Linked DNA regions of Danio rerio. The protein of the gene in region 3 interacts with the protein of the main gene of each other region in a biochemical or structural test. Links are inferred from orthologs where the notes say so. Each region holds a gene or a part of one and is shown on either strand. Other genes may lie near its edges.

Region 1 (4,293 bases), on a different chromosome or scaffold from region 3:
GCACTCCACCCCGGCCTCTGACTCGTGTAGCACCGGGCAGTTAGCACGTTAGCACATTAGCGCGAGTAACTTTTACTCGTGTAAACAAGTTAAATTACATACCGAACTGTAGTTTGTGTCTTATCAGTGTTATATTAATACGTAATTTAAAACAACATCGATTAAAACACCCAGGAAATTCGTTAAAACATTTAATTAACTATACCTGATAACTGTCAAAATATGCAACATAAGTATTTGTCATATAACCGATGTCATTACATTATGATGGTGAAAAACATTATAACTTACCCAAAAATTCGATTAATTTGATGATAGATCTTAATTAAGTTGATTAAAGTCGGATTCATTTATGAGATCTGCGCATGTGCAGTAGGCAGAGTGTGTGAATAGCGCCAAGTGTGTGTCAGGGTGCAGTACCGCCATCCGACTACAGGACCGCTATAGAGCAGTGCGCCGACACACACTTACACACTCAATTCAGGTAAATGGTCAAGGTGGGGATCAGTGAAAAAAACTGCACTAGGCATATCAGCAACGCCCCCTGAGTCTTTTAAAGGCAAAACATAGTGGGGACCGGGCGATCGGTCCCCACTATGTTTTTGGTCCCCACTTTGTGAGTGTGCTATCATGCTGAGGTCCCCACCATGTAATAAAAACAAACACACACACACACACACACACACACACACACACACACACACACAAACTGGTTACAACGAAAGTTTAATGTGTGAATTCGTTTCTCTTAAATTTACTAAGATTTACGTTAACGTTACCTCTTCCTGTCTGTTCATCTGATCCTCTTGCCGACCTTCCATTTCTTGGTAGTTTAAGTAACGTAATACAACAAGGACACAAACAAACATAAACAATTGTACAAGACAAAAATAAATAAGTAATAATTATAATTGTTATAATCACCTTTTTCAATTGTAGACTGGGCATATGTAACTTAGCAGAGCTATACGTTAAACGTATAAGTTAAAGATGTAACTTACCCCAAAGTTTTCGTTCAGATAGCAATTTTTAATTCACAGTCCTTTAGCGGAAATAATTAACGTTTTTTTCGCTTTAGATTCGGTATATCAGAATATTTAATGCTTTTAATTTAATTTCTGTTGATGACAATTTAGCACACGAGTGGCTTTCCCTTTGCATCTCTGTTGCTAGGAGAAGCTAAACACTTCCGTCTTTTTCGTTGTTGGGTAAAGTCTAGATGGGATACAGCTGAATATGTTAGTATCCGAGGCTGTATCCCTTTTGGGCTTTAACGGCATTTCTTCTTCGTTGGAACTCAAACAGAGGTGTAGAAAAAATAAACAACGACAATTTTAAAAAAAAAAGATTAACTTGTTAATTTTTTTGTTTATTATTTAAGGATAAATGTCTATTTACATCTCCAACACTGTAGGTGGCGATGTTGTGGTTTCAGCTGGCTTAAGGGAGCGTGAAGAAAAGCTGAGCATAAATGCTACATTGTGCTCACTGCTCATCATACATGTTATGGATGTGAGAACGTAACAGTAAGTGATCTTACTTCTGTTTGTTAGTACACATAAAACGATTTGCTCTCGGCCATGCACGGGGAATGCAGCATATTTAGATTAGTATTATGTTCACGTTAACAGACCAGTGTTTTCACTCATATCTGCGCTGGTAAGGGTTGATATGTAATTTATTCTAACAAAATAAGAGTAATAATTACGGAATTACATTTGTTTGATGTGGCATTATGATGAAATGTATTTCTAAATATAAATTGGAAAAAAAAAGATCTAATATAATATTATAATCTAACACTGTTTTTCCCAAAGTGGGAGTCCCTTGGTTGCCATCAGCCTTTTAATTATTATTTCTTCATAGGATTGGTGTTTATGTTAGATTGCAGCAATATTGTCAGCTGCAGCAAATTTTAAAGCATCAGGTTAAACTTTCTGACACCTTTATGGAAATAAAATAACTTGCATTAAAAATAAATACAGGCCACAACAGAATATTGGGAATCATCTCTGAGTGGCGGTCTATAAAATAAAACCAAGTATAGACTTGTGCTGAAAACATTGTGCCCTCCAATCTCTTTAGTTGAGGTTAATATCAAATTAAACAAACTAATAAATTACTTTAAATATGATAGTCGTTAGACTGTTGCACTTTTTTCTGTTGTCAATATGCTCGTGTTTATATAGGCCTATTGCTGTATGTGCAACACTAGTATATTTATAACCACCTCCAATCAATCTGGGGGTTGCGAGTGACTGGCATTTTGGGAAACCCTGATCTAACAGGTACATGAACATTGTATTCATTCAGTCTGTAAAGGATCCTACTTATATTTTTAATCATGATTATAGTCTCCATAAAATGTTTTGCAGTTAATTTCTAATCCTCACTAAGAGCTAGAAATGACGTGGAAAACCACTGGTTAAAATCTGTAGGACCTTGCATGGTAATAACATGTGGTACACTACTAAATGGAAGTGATTATTGCTTTTGAAAAATGTGTAAATAAATAAATCTGCATTGTTTTTTTTGTGTGTTACAGAAGGAATGAAGGTTAAAATAAAGCAGTGGAACGGTGTGGCATCCTGGTTATGGGTGGCCAATGATGAAAATTGCGGCATCTGTCGGGCATCTTTCAATGGTTGCTGCCCAGACTGTGGGTAACCTGATTACACATCACCCACAAATACTATACTCTGCCATCTTTGTGTTTTAAGTTTTACGATAAAAAGCAGGTTTATCATAAAACAGTGTCATTCCCAGTGGAATTTCAATAGCAACATGTTTTAGAAATTTTTGGTTCATGAAAGTAACATGACATGAAAGTGAAGTGACACATGGCCAAGCATGGTCACCCATTCTGTTGCTGCATCCAAAATTGTTTGGGATAACTTTTGGTGATGACTTTTGGTGACCCAAAGTTATCCAACATGTGCGCCCGATAGCTCCCCTCCTTCCGCTCTGTGAGAAAAGTTGTGGTTGTTGAGTGCGTGACATGTCCATCATTCAACACTTCATTTTACCGTTTGAATGAGTGCATCATCCGGGCAATTAAAGTGCACTTATTATTTTTAGAGATTTCAGTGTGACAGCACTAGTCTACAGAACAAACCCTCATTATACAATAACTTGCCTTATTACCCTATCCTGCTTAGTTAACCTAATTAACCTAGTTAAGCAAGCCTTTAAATGTCACTTTAAGCTGTATAGAAGTGTCTTGAAAAATATATATTGAATAAAATAACATTTACTGTAATCATGGCAAAGATAAAAGAAATCAGTTGTTAAAAATGAGTTAATAAAACTATTATGTGTCTGGGGAAAGAAAAAAAAAAAAAAAATATATATATATATATATATATATACACACACACACACACACACACACACACACACACACACACACACACACACACACACACACACACACAAAGAGGGTGGGCCATTTATATGGATACACCTTTATAAAATGGGAATGGTTGGTGATATTAATGTCCTGTTTGTGGCACATTAGTATATGTGAGGGGCAAACTTTTCATGATAGGTGGTGACCATAGTGGGCATTTTTAAGTCGGCCATCTTGGATCCAACTTTTGTTATTTCAATAGGAAAAAGGTCATTTGACGCATCAAACATATTGGGAATTTCATGAGAAAAACAATGGTGTGCCTGGTTTTAATGTAACTTTATTTTTTAAGAATAGTTATATTAAAACCAAGCAAGTTTGATGGGACAATGATCCTTTTCCTATCGAAAAAACAAATTTGGGACAAAGATGGCCGACTTTAAAGTAGCCACTATGGTCACCACCCATCTTGAAAAGTTGGCCCCCTCACATATACTTATGTGCCACAAACAAGACATTAATATTACCAACTATTCCCATTTTATTAAGGTGTATCCATGTAAATGGCCCACCCTATATATATATATATATATATATATATATATATATATATATATATATGTGTATGTATATTAGTGGAAAAAATGCATATATTTCTTCTTTTTTTTTTTTTTTTACTGAACCAGTCTGCAGTAACGAAAACAGGAGACTCATTAGAAACAAACAAATGGCCAACCAAAAAGTTACTTGGGGTTATACAAGGAGTGGCCAACACAAAATATATACATTACTGATCCGAGTCCCATCTCCCACTCAATACACTACAATATAATTATAGTATAATAAATACAGCACTAAAACATAAAAGAGAGAGAGATCAACTTATAATGTCACTGGCCTTTTTAGTAATAATTTGATCATGTATAGTTAGAAATTACTGTATG
Region 2 (4,203 bases), on a different chromosome or scaffold from region 3:
TTTTCTGATAGTGCAACCTTGACGAGGTTGCATGCTGAAAGAATGATGATGATTTCAGTGTCAACGTAGGCCTATTCAGCATTGTGAATGTGCTTTACTGCAAAACATGCAATATAATGCAAAGCAGACATGGGTCACATGCTTAGCTTTTTATTTTATTATTCTATTTTAAATATCTGTTCATTCTAATGTCATTATTTTTTATGATTTTTTTTTCTTTTTAGATGATTTGGAAATAGACAAAAAGTAACTGAAAAAAGCTGCTTAATTAATTATTAGCCACTCTCAATTTAACACTTAAAAATACATTAATCGTTATTTATTATTCTTTTTTTAAGCTGGCCCAAACTTGATTTAAACTTTAAAAATAGTATATTGACAGAATTTGCGTTTATTGATTTACCCGAAATTAGCCATTCTGAATGCTGACTGAATTTTTTTAAATATATATATATATATATAGCCTAAATAAATCTTATATTTTTGCATATTTCTAAGTCCAAGCAAGAATATATTAGCTCAACTTATATACCCACATGAAAAAATATAGGCTATACATGTTTTTGACATATATGAAATAAAATGTGCTATTACTGTAAAATAATAATATGGTAATAGAAGAACTAATGATATATACCAATCATAATATATAAACTTAAATTTTTTTGTAAGATTAAAAGATTTAGAAAATACAATTTAATAAATATAAACAAATAGTACTACATTTTTACAACTCTGGCTATTATATTACAATATATCAACGTTTCTTTAGTAAAAATTATATTACATATGTTTACAGTAGATTATCAGTTAATACGGCTATGCTCAACTAACAGAGTTGTTTTGAATACTATAGTATAAATATTAATAGGCCTAAAATAGTAGCCTTTGGTTCAAAAGCACTATATTATTTATTATAAATCACTTTAGTATTTTTTTTTCATGTGGGTAAGTTTGTTTCTACAATATTTTTATTGTATTGGGAATCACAGCATATTGGCTAATTTATTCAACAGATAACAATTGTACAAAAGTTCTGAAGTTTTTCCAACATAGTTTGTATTTATATGATCAAAATGTGCAATTCTCCACGTTTTTTAAAAAATAAGTTGGATATAGTTTCAAGAAAAGAAGTTTATATGAGTTAAATATAGTTAAAGTTCAAATATAAGATACATTTTCAATCAAATACATACAGAAATTTCGAATGAGGGAATTATTAGCATGAAAAATTAAATAAATTGATTAAAAAAATGTTTATTAAAGTGTTTATTAAAAATGTTCTACATCGCAGTATTTTAAAACATCCAGCCAGGGGCCTGTTAACAGACAACTCCAGCTAGAGGCCGATCTGCGTGTCTGCAGACCAGCCTATCTCAGCCATTTTGTTTCTACGCCTCTTCGCCATGGCGGAGATGGACGACGGTGATGAGCCAGGTTTAGGACATTCTCACAGCGGTTCTTCTGGGTCCAAATCAGGGGGAGACAAAATGTTTTCCCTGAAGAAGTGGAACGCGGTGGCCATGTGGAGCTGGGATGTGGAGTGTGACACCTGCGCTATTTGTCGCGTTCAAGTTATGGGTGAGTGTTTTTTAGCTAACCGGCTAGCCGATAGCATTTCTAATCATTCTCAGATAAACAGACCAAGAATGGAGGCTGATGAATTTGATAATATCTGCCTGACACACGACCGAGTCGTTTTCAGCAATATAACACACTGCTGTCTACCGAGACAGAATTTGTTGAAACCTAAAGTGATGACATAAATGTTTACTCGAACATTGGAAAGTGCATATAATGCATGACATACTGTTTAAATGCGACGAGCAAATGCATTAATGCTTCAAAACAGACGAGAATAGAAACATAGAATGGACATTATATGTAAATATTAAACTTACATTCAAATCCATATGACGTCTAAGATATGTTCAATAATGTATAAATTATGCAAATATACATGTGAAGGGGAAAAACATTAGTTTATGATTAGTTTAACAGTTTACAGCAAAATGGAGATTAGGTAGGCAGTTCACATTATTTGGTCAAGTCAGTGTAAATATTCAGACTATAATAAATGTGCACAGTCAGACTGTGATTTCATATGATCTCAGCAAGTCTGTCCTGTTTAAAAGCAACTGTGAAGTTAAAACTGTATAAATCTTATTATGAACAATTAAGACTTTGTAATATCTAGACTAACCAAAATGTCAAAATTTGACCCTATAGGAAAAATGACTTTCCTCTGCTGGCATTCTTTTTTTTCTCTCTTGACATTTAGTTCGCTAAAACCCACTCCTGCAAAATGGCATTTGTCAGCCTTTAAGTGATTGGGTTAAAGTTGGTTTTATATTTGCACATTTGGATTTTATCCATAATTTCAGGAAAGCGTTCTTTGCCAATTTTAAATAGTTAAGCACAGCAGCCAGTCAATTAAATAGTACTAATGTATCATTTTTTATAATATTATATATCATTTGTAATTTCAGACTGAGCAATCAAAGTAGCATAATAAACAATATAGAGATCAGGTCAGAAGAGGTCACTCTCAAAAATGAACTAATGTGCAAATATAAAACCATGTTTGGTGTACGTTTGGGCAGACCTTTTAAATTCCAGTCCAGTAGTATCTGGATGCAGACTTCATGTCTCAGCTTTGCAATATCAGACACAATGCACTCAATGGAGCTAGTGACGTCACTGTTGCAGCTCAGCTTGCAACTGCACCAAGTCTGCAGTCAGACCACTGTCATATATTGGGCAAATGCTTCACTAGCTGCCTTTAAACTGTGCGAATGAACAGACGTCACAATAAAACAGACATCACAATACCAAAGAAAGAAAACTCTCCGTTGGTATTTTCTTTTTAATTTACAACTGTATCTGAGTTTTGGTTTACTTCTAGCACAATATATAAATCCCAGCAGGTGTTTTTGAATATGTCTGATTTACTCCATTTCAGATGCCTGCTTGAGGTGTCAGGCCGAAAACAAACAAGAAGACTGCGTTGGTAAGTTAAAGCCCATGTGAAATCAAAATGTACCATGTTTATTGTGCTCGCACACATAGTTAATCTTTAGGTGAACGATTAATCAGTGCATGTTAATCCACTGGGGACATTTTTTTTGGTAATTCTGACCATTTGCTTTCATGCTTGGAGTGCCAGCCTTTATCTGTTGACATCAGCTCAACTGCTTCACTCATAAACAATAATATTAGCCATGCCCCTCTTACAATTACTTTGCTATGGGGAAATAATGTGCAAAAAGAAAGCCCCAACCCCTACTTAATATTTTGTTTCAGTTGGAAGTACATCATCATACTAGTGATGGTAAAATGAAGCTTTCTGAACAAGTGAAGTGCTCGACTCAATTGTATTGGAAAAAGGTTCGTTATAGAGGTCTGCATTCCCGCGGGCGCCACAGGACCCGACCAGATTTCTGCGGCGCGGGAATAAATTTCCAAATAAGTCGCGGGAGCGGTCGGTAACAGGTTTAATTTAGGACGGGAGCGGGCTGTCTAGCAATATCGCGGATATTGCTATGTGAATGAGAGAGAGAGAGAGAGAGCTTTGCCTGTGTGTGTGCTTGGTGCTTGTGTGTGTGTGTATGTTAGTGCGCGCGCGAATGAGAGAGAGAGAGAGAGAGCTTTCCCAGATAGCAAAATACACTCAGGCCAGTTCCGGCTAGATTCTCGCCTGCCAGAGACTTACCACTCAGCCCGGCTCTGGCTGCCGGACTCCGGATGCTTGTGGACTCACTGCCCGATTCCGGCCCGAATCAATCGGGCCAGATGCGGCAGCCTTAAGCAAACCGACGCTGCCGCATCCCTGCCGGAATCGGACCGATAGTAATGTGCGCTGCGGCCCGGAGCTGGCGCGACTCAGTATTTATATATCTTTATATAAAACCTTTTGGTATTACATTGGTACTTGATACATGGTATTACAAGCCTTTGAGTTGATATAACAGCAAACGCCTGTGTGTCTGCTTGGTGCTTGTGTGTGTGTTAGTGCGCACGCGCGCGTATGAGAGAGAGAGAGATTTGTCTGTGTGTGTGTGCTTGGTGCTGTGTGTGTTTATACAGACAGCTTGGCTGTCTGGACTGTATAGCTGGGGGATTTTCAGTTTTGTTCTCCCCCGCTCTTTAGCGGGATCGGGTGTGGCGGGCAGAAAACGGGGCGGGTCGGGCAGGGGGACAATA
Region 3 (4,331 bases):
TGAGAAAACAGTGGGCATGGCTTGTTTTTTCTGCTGCAAGCTGAATGGATGTAGTAAAGTAGGCATTTCATTCAGAAAGATAGTAAAAGGGGTTTTGAAAGTGATTTCATTTCAGCAAAACAGATTGATTAAACGTATATATTTATTAAATAATATTTTAGTGACTGAACATCTTTAGAAATAGAAAGATAACACATTAAATTCATGCAAAATATTGGAAAAAACAAACAAATTACAAACTACACAATTTACAATTTGTTAATTATATTAATTAAATATATATTTTTTGTTTCTTTTGATTTTCTTCATTCTTTAATTTTGATTTTAGATTTTTCCCTAAACATATAGATTAGGGCTACTAATTTTTGGACTGCTACCTTAAGTTATTTTTTTAGATTAGCTCCAGATTTTGCTTCAGTACTGAATAATCAAATGTATATGTACAAATACAATATTGTAAAGCATCCTATAGAAAACATTAAAAAGATTTGTGAGGGGTGTACTCATATACTGGGCACTGTATGTCCATGTACACGCACATATTTAATTACAGTTTAGATTTATTAATTCAACTGGTAAATCTAAGATGTTGCAGAACCTTATATTTTAGGGCAGGGGTGTCCAAACTCGGTACTGGAGGGCCTTCCCTAAACACACCTGCCTGGACTGAGTTTGGACACCCCTGTTTTAGGGAATTTCTGACCATGAAACAAAAGGGAAAAAAAATTTAGTCAATGTTTGAAAGAACTTCAGAAAGAATAAAATATTACTTACCAACAATACATGTCTCAAGCCCAGCTCTGCTTTCCAGTCTCTCTTGAGTACATTGACACAGATCTCACCCTTGTGCCCAACATTAGGATGGAAAATCTTTGTGAGGAAATAGCCTCTGGGAGGAACGGCAGGAAAGTCCTTCCCAAGCACCAAACGCATCCGGAACACACCACCTGCATATGGAGTTCCTTCTGTTGAGCAGAAGACGGGGGAAAACAAGTTGCAAGTGCAATGATTAGATCACGGCTTTCATTGAGAAGAGGAAACTGTGATAATCTCTACTTGCCTGGGCCCTCAATGGAAGTGTGCAGCTCTGTGATGTCCTCTTCACTGGGGTAGATTTTGATCCCCTCAGGAGGATCTGCTGCTAAAGCTGAAACTTCTTTATAGACGAGTCTCAACACTTGAGGCGGCAAGTTCTCCACATTTGAATTCTGCACACAATAAAATGTCAAATGTAACAAATTGCAAAATTTAAAAAATGGTGGGGAAAACTTTTTATTTAGAAAATAATACAAAATTATTAATTTTAAGAAACTTTAGCCTATACAAGTTCATAAACTTGATACATAATACATACATTACGGGTGAAGATTTTGGGATCAGTAGGATTTTTCAATGATTTAAAATAAGCTCATGTGGCTCACCAAGGCTGCATTTGTTTAATCAAAAATACAGAACAAATTACATAATTGTGAAATGTTATTGCACTGTAAAATAACCGTTCAAAAGTAATTCATAATTTAATAATTTATTCTAGTGATTTTAATGATGAAATTTCAGCTTTATTATTTTAGTCTCCAGAGTGACATGATCCTTCAAAAATCACGCTAACATTAGTTATTATTATTAATGGTAATAGTAATAAAAACAATAATGATGGAGTAATAATTTCATTTGAAACCACATACAGTAAGCAAGCAGTTATTTGATAGTATCACTACTATTAAAATAAACAAATAAACAAATGTAATAAATCAAAATAAATAATATAATGGAAAAAAACAAGAGCCTAGCACATCTGCTTCACCAAACAACAAAAATAGGTGGAATTTCGTTCATTTATCCACAATAAAATACACATTTATTTAATTAAAAAGCAAAAACACGAAGAAAAAAAGTGGAACAATTGTGCGACGTATATCATACTGAGCTTGTATCGTCTGGTAATCAAGCACTTAACAATAAATTATATTTTTCGGAACTTTTAGTTAGGATAAAGTAATAATTACCCAGTTACTTTAATATAATGCTTTATTACAAAAAGTATGACAAATGCCACACAATTCGACATTAGTGATGCATTAACGCGAGAAAAAGTTAAAAAGCCTTTTGTTAACAAACGTTCGTAAAAAAATATTAATGCTGCATAATACAGTGCTTATAATTACTGTCAATTTAACAATCAAAGCATATTTGAGTTTAAATCACATTACTGTAAAGAGTCTCTCAAAACAAGCTGAACGACTAAAAAGTAAGACAAATAAACAGTAAAGCTGTTTTGTTGTTGTTGTTGTAATCAGTTTGATGAATCACTCGTAAACAATACATAATTGAACCTACCATTTTTAGGCGTGCTGGATTTTTTAATCGGCAGCAAATTTGTCCCAAAGGAGAACTTAGCAGAACTGACACTCAACCGGCCGATTTGACGGATTCGGTGATCTGTAACCGGACTGACGGAACAAAACGATAACGAATCTAAAAGTTGCAACCAATCAAAGATAGCAAAGTATTCCAAGACGCCTGACTATTATATAAATAACCAAAACCAATTTTCACTGTGATGTCGGTCGGCTTGCTAGTGCTGCTATCAAACCAGGCTAGGCTAACTGTGGGATAGCTAGCTATTCTCCAGAGCTGCCTTTTGTGAAACTTCAATGCGACGTTGTCTTCAGATCAAATATCTCGTGTAAAGATTTTTTAAATCCAACGTGGTGTTAATTTCGTCTGCGGTAATTGATTTGTTTGATAGCTAGTCTGCTGCTGCTGACGGCTACTGTAGCCTGTTATCAGCTAGCAGTCTTTGACACGGAACAAAAATACAATTCGTCTAAGCAGCAGTTCGAAATACGTTTAACCAATCAGAATGTGAGAAGGACTTCACGTGCTCAACAATTAAAGCGTTTTGACCAATCAGAAGCACGGGTTGTGCTGACGTAGCTGGCCTTGGAAACCACTTCGACCAGAGAAAGTTGAGAATGCGAAAGATGCTGTTTGCTAATAGGTGCGTTTGAAAAACTCCTGCCCTCCCAGAGGCAGGGACTGATGTGTGGCTTCAAATCGACATCCAATGAAAGACGCAGAAAGAAATATAAGAAAAACTTTAGAGGTTTTTTATTACTGTAATTGGTTTCTTCTAGTGCAGATCACGATGGAAGAATTCTGAAAGATTGAGTTAAACTAAAGATTAATTTGCCTTAAAATACAGTTTTACTCACTCAACAATTAATGATTAAAAAGCTACATAATTTTTATTTTATTTTATGTAATATTTTAACAACATGTAATGATTTCACTGTTTTTACTTTTTTATTTTTTTTCCTGCATTCTGTATAAAATGTCAAATATTCCTTGTTTTTTATTTGGCTTTTTTTTTTTTTTTTTTTTTTTGATAATTCAGTTGCCATCATTTTGTTATTGATAATCGAACGAGGGTGTGGCAAACAATTTACCTTATTTCTTATTTAATTTCAATTTCATTTATAAAACACTTTAAAACAGTTGAAAGTGCTGACAATAGAGAGTAAAACAAAGCGTAGCACTTATTATAATGTCCACCTTGTTACTCCTGTCTAACTATATAGTTTTTTCATGGTAATAAATAAAATCAATACACATTACAAATGTTTTTTGGTTACTTGCATCCAAAGAACTAACCAACAGGATTTAATGGCATTGCAGTCTCGAAATACATTACATTTACAAAGTGCCATATAACAAGTCTTTTTTGAGATAATTCTTGTTTAGTAATACCTTTAAAAAATACTATTGCTATACTATACTATTGGTAAAGTGAAAAACATTTTAGCTCCTAGAAAATGTAAATATTACATAAACTATTTATTTGAAACACCTTCTAAAAGATATGAGAATTTTCTGTAATGGGGACATTTAGCCTGTGTTACATGTGAAAATTCTGTAAAAAATGATAAACCGTAATATCCTTAGCTGCACCTGTATATTTTTCTTATAGTTTAATAAGTTCTCCTTCGACTGAAATTTAATCTTGGAAAATAAAACATTTTTTTCAGGGACAGTAACTACCCTAAAATGTCACTGCATAGTTGCACGGTTTCAAAATATCATGGTATTGTGGCTCCAAAACATGTTCTTTTTAAATGTCTGGTTTAAAAAAAATAAAATAAAATTTGGAACAAACATATTTTATTTTGAGAAACATTTAAAATATTTTGGAACAGTAAACATGTCAGATTAAATAATTCATTAAATCACAGATTTATATACAATTTAAAATTGCATCTTTGGATATCTTTTCTGCTGGAGGTACTGTTGTACAAAAAACAAAAACAAAAAAGTAAAACAAAAATCTTACA

Evidence for each region.
Region 1: the proteins of ube2s (region 3) and anapc11 form a complex in vitro, tested with the Homo sapiens proteins (31 studies listed by BioGRID). The link is inferred for Danio rerio from reciprocal best matches to the Homo sapiens genes UBE2S and ANAPC11.
Region 2: the proteins of ube2s (region 3) and rnf7 form a complex in vitro, tested with the Homo sapiens proteins (3 studies listed by BioGRID). The link is inferred for Danio rerio from reciprocal best matches to the Homo sapiens genes UBE2S and RNF7.

The regions. Positions count from the first base shown.
Region 1 is NC_133181.1:24,269,219-24,273,511, reverse strand, and holds the start of anapc11 (anaphase-promoting complex subunit 11), read left to right. Parts: upstream 1-1,467; 5' UTR 1,468-1,526; intron 1,527-2,545; 5' UTR 2,546-2,550; coding exon 2,551-2,659; intron 2,660-4,293. UniProt on the Homo sapiens protein: Together with the cullin protein ANAPC2, constitutes the catalytic component of the anaphase promoting complex/cyclosome (APC/C), a cell cycle-regulated E3 ubiquitin ligase that controls progression through mitosis and the G1 phase of the cell cycle.
Region 2 is NC_133193.1:44,703,754-44,707,956, reverse strand, and holds the start of rnf7 (RING-box protein 2), read left to right. Parts: upstream 1-1,403; 5' UTR 1,404-1,406; coding exon 1,407-1,581; intron 1,582-2,962; coding exon 2,963-3,010; intron 3,011-4,203. UniProt on the Homo sapiens protein: Catalytic component of multiple cullin-5-RING E3 ubiquitin-protein ligase complexes (ECS complexes), which mediate the ubiquitination and subsequent proteasomal degradation of target proteins.
Region 3 is NC_133191.1:14,031,425-14,035,755, forward strand, and holds the start of ube2s (ubiquitin-conjugating enzyme E2 S), read right to left. Parts: upstream 2,821-4,331; 5' UTR 2,341-2,820; coding exon 2,338-2,340; intron 1,209-2,337; coding exon 1,061-1,208; intron 966-1,060; coding exon 775-965; intron 1-774. UniProt on the Homo sapiens protein: Accepts ubiquitin from the E1 complex and catalyzes its covalent attachment to other proteins. Catalyzes 'Lys-11'-linked polyubiquitination.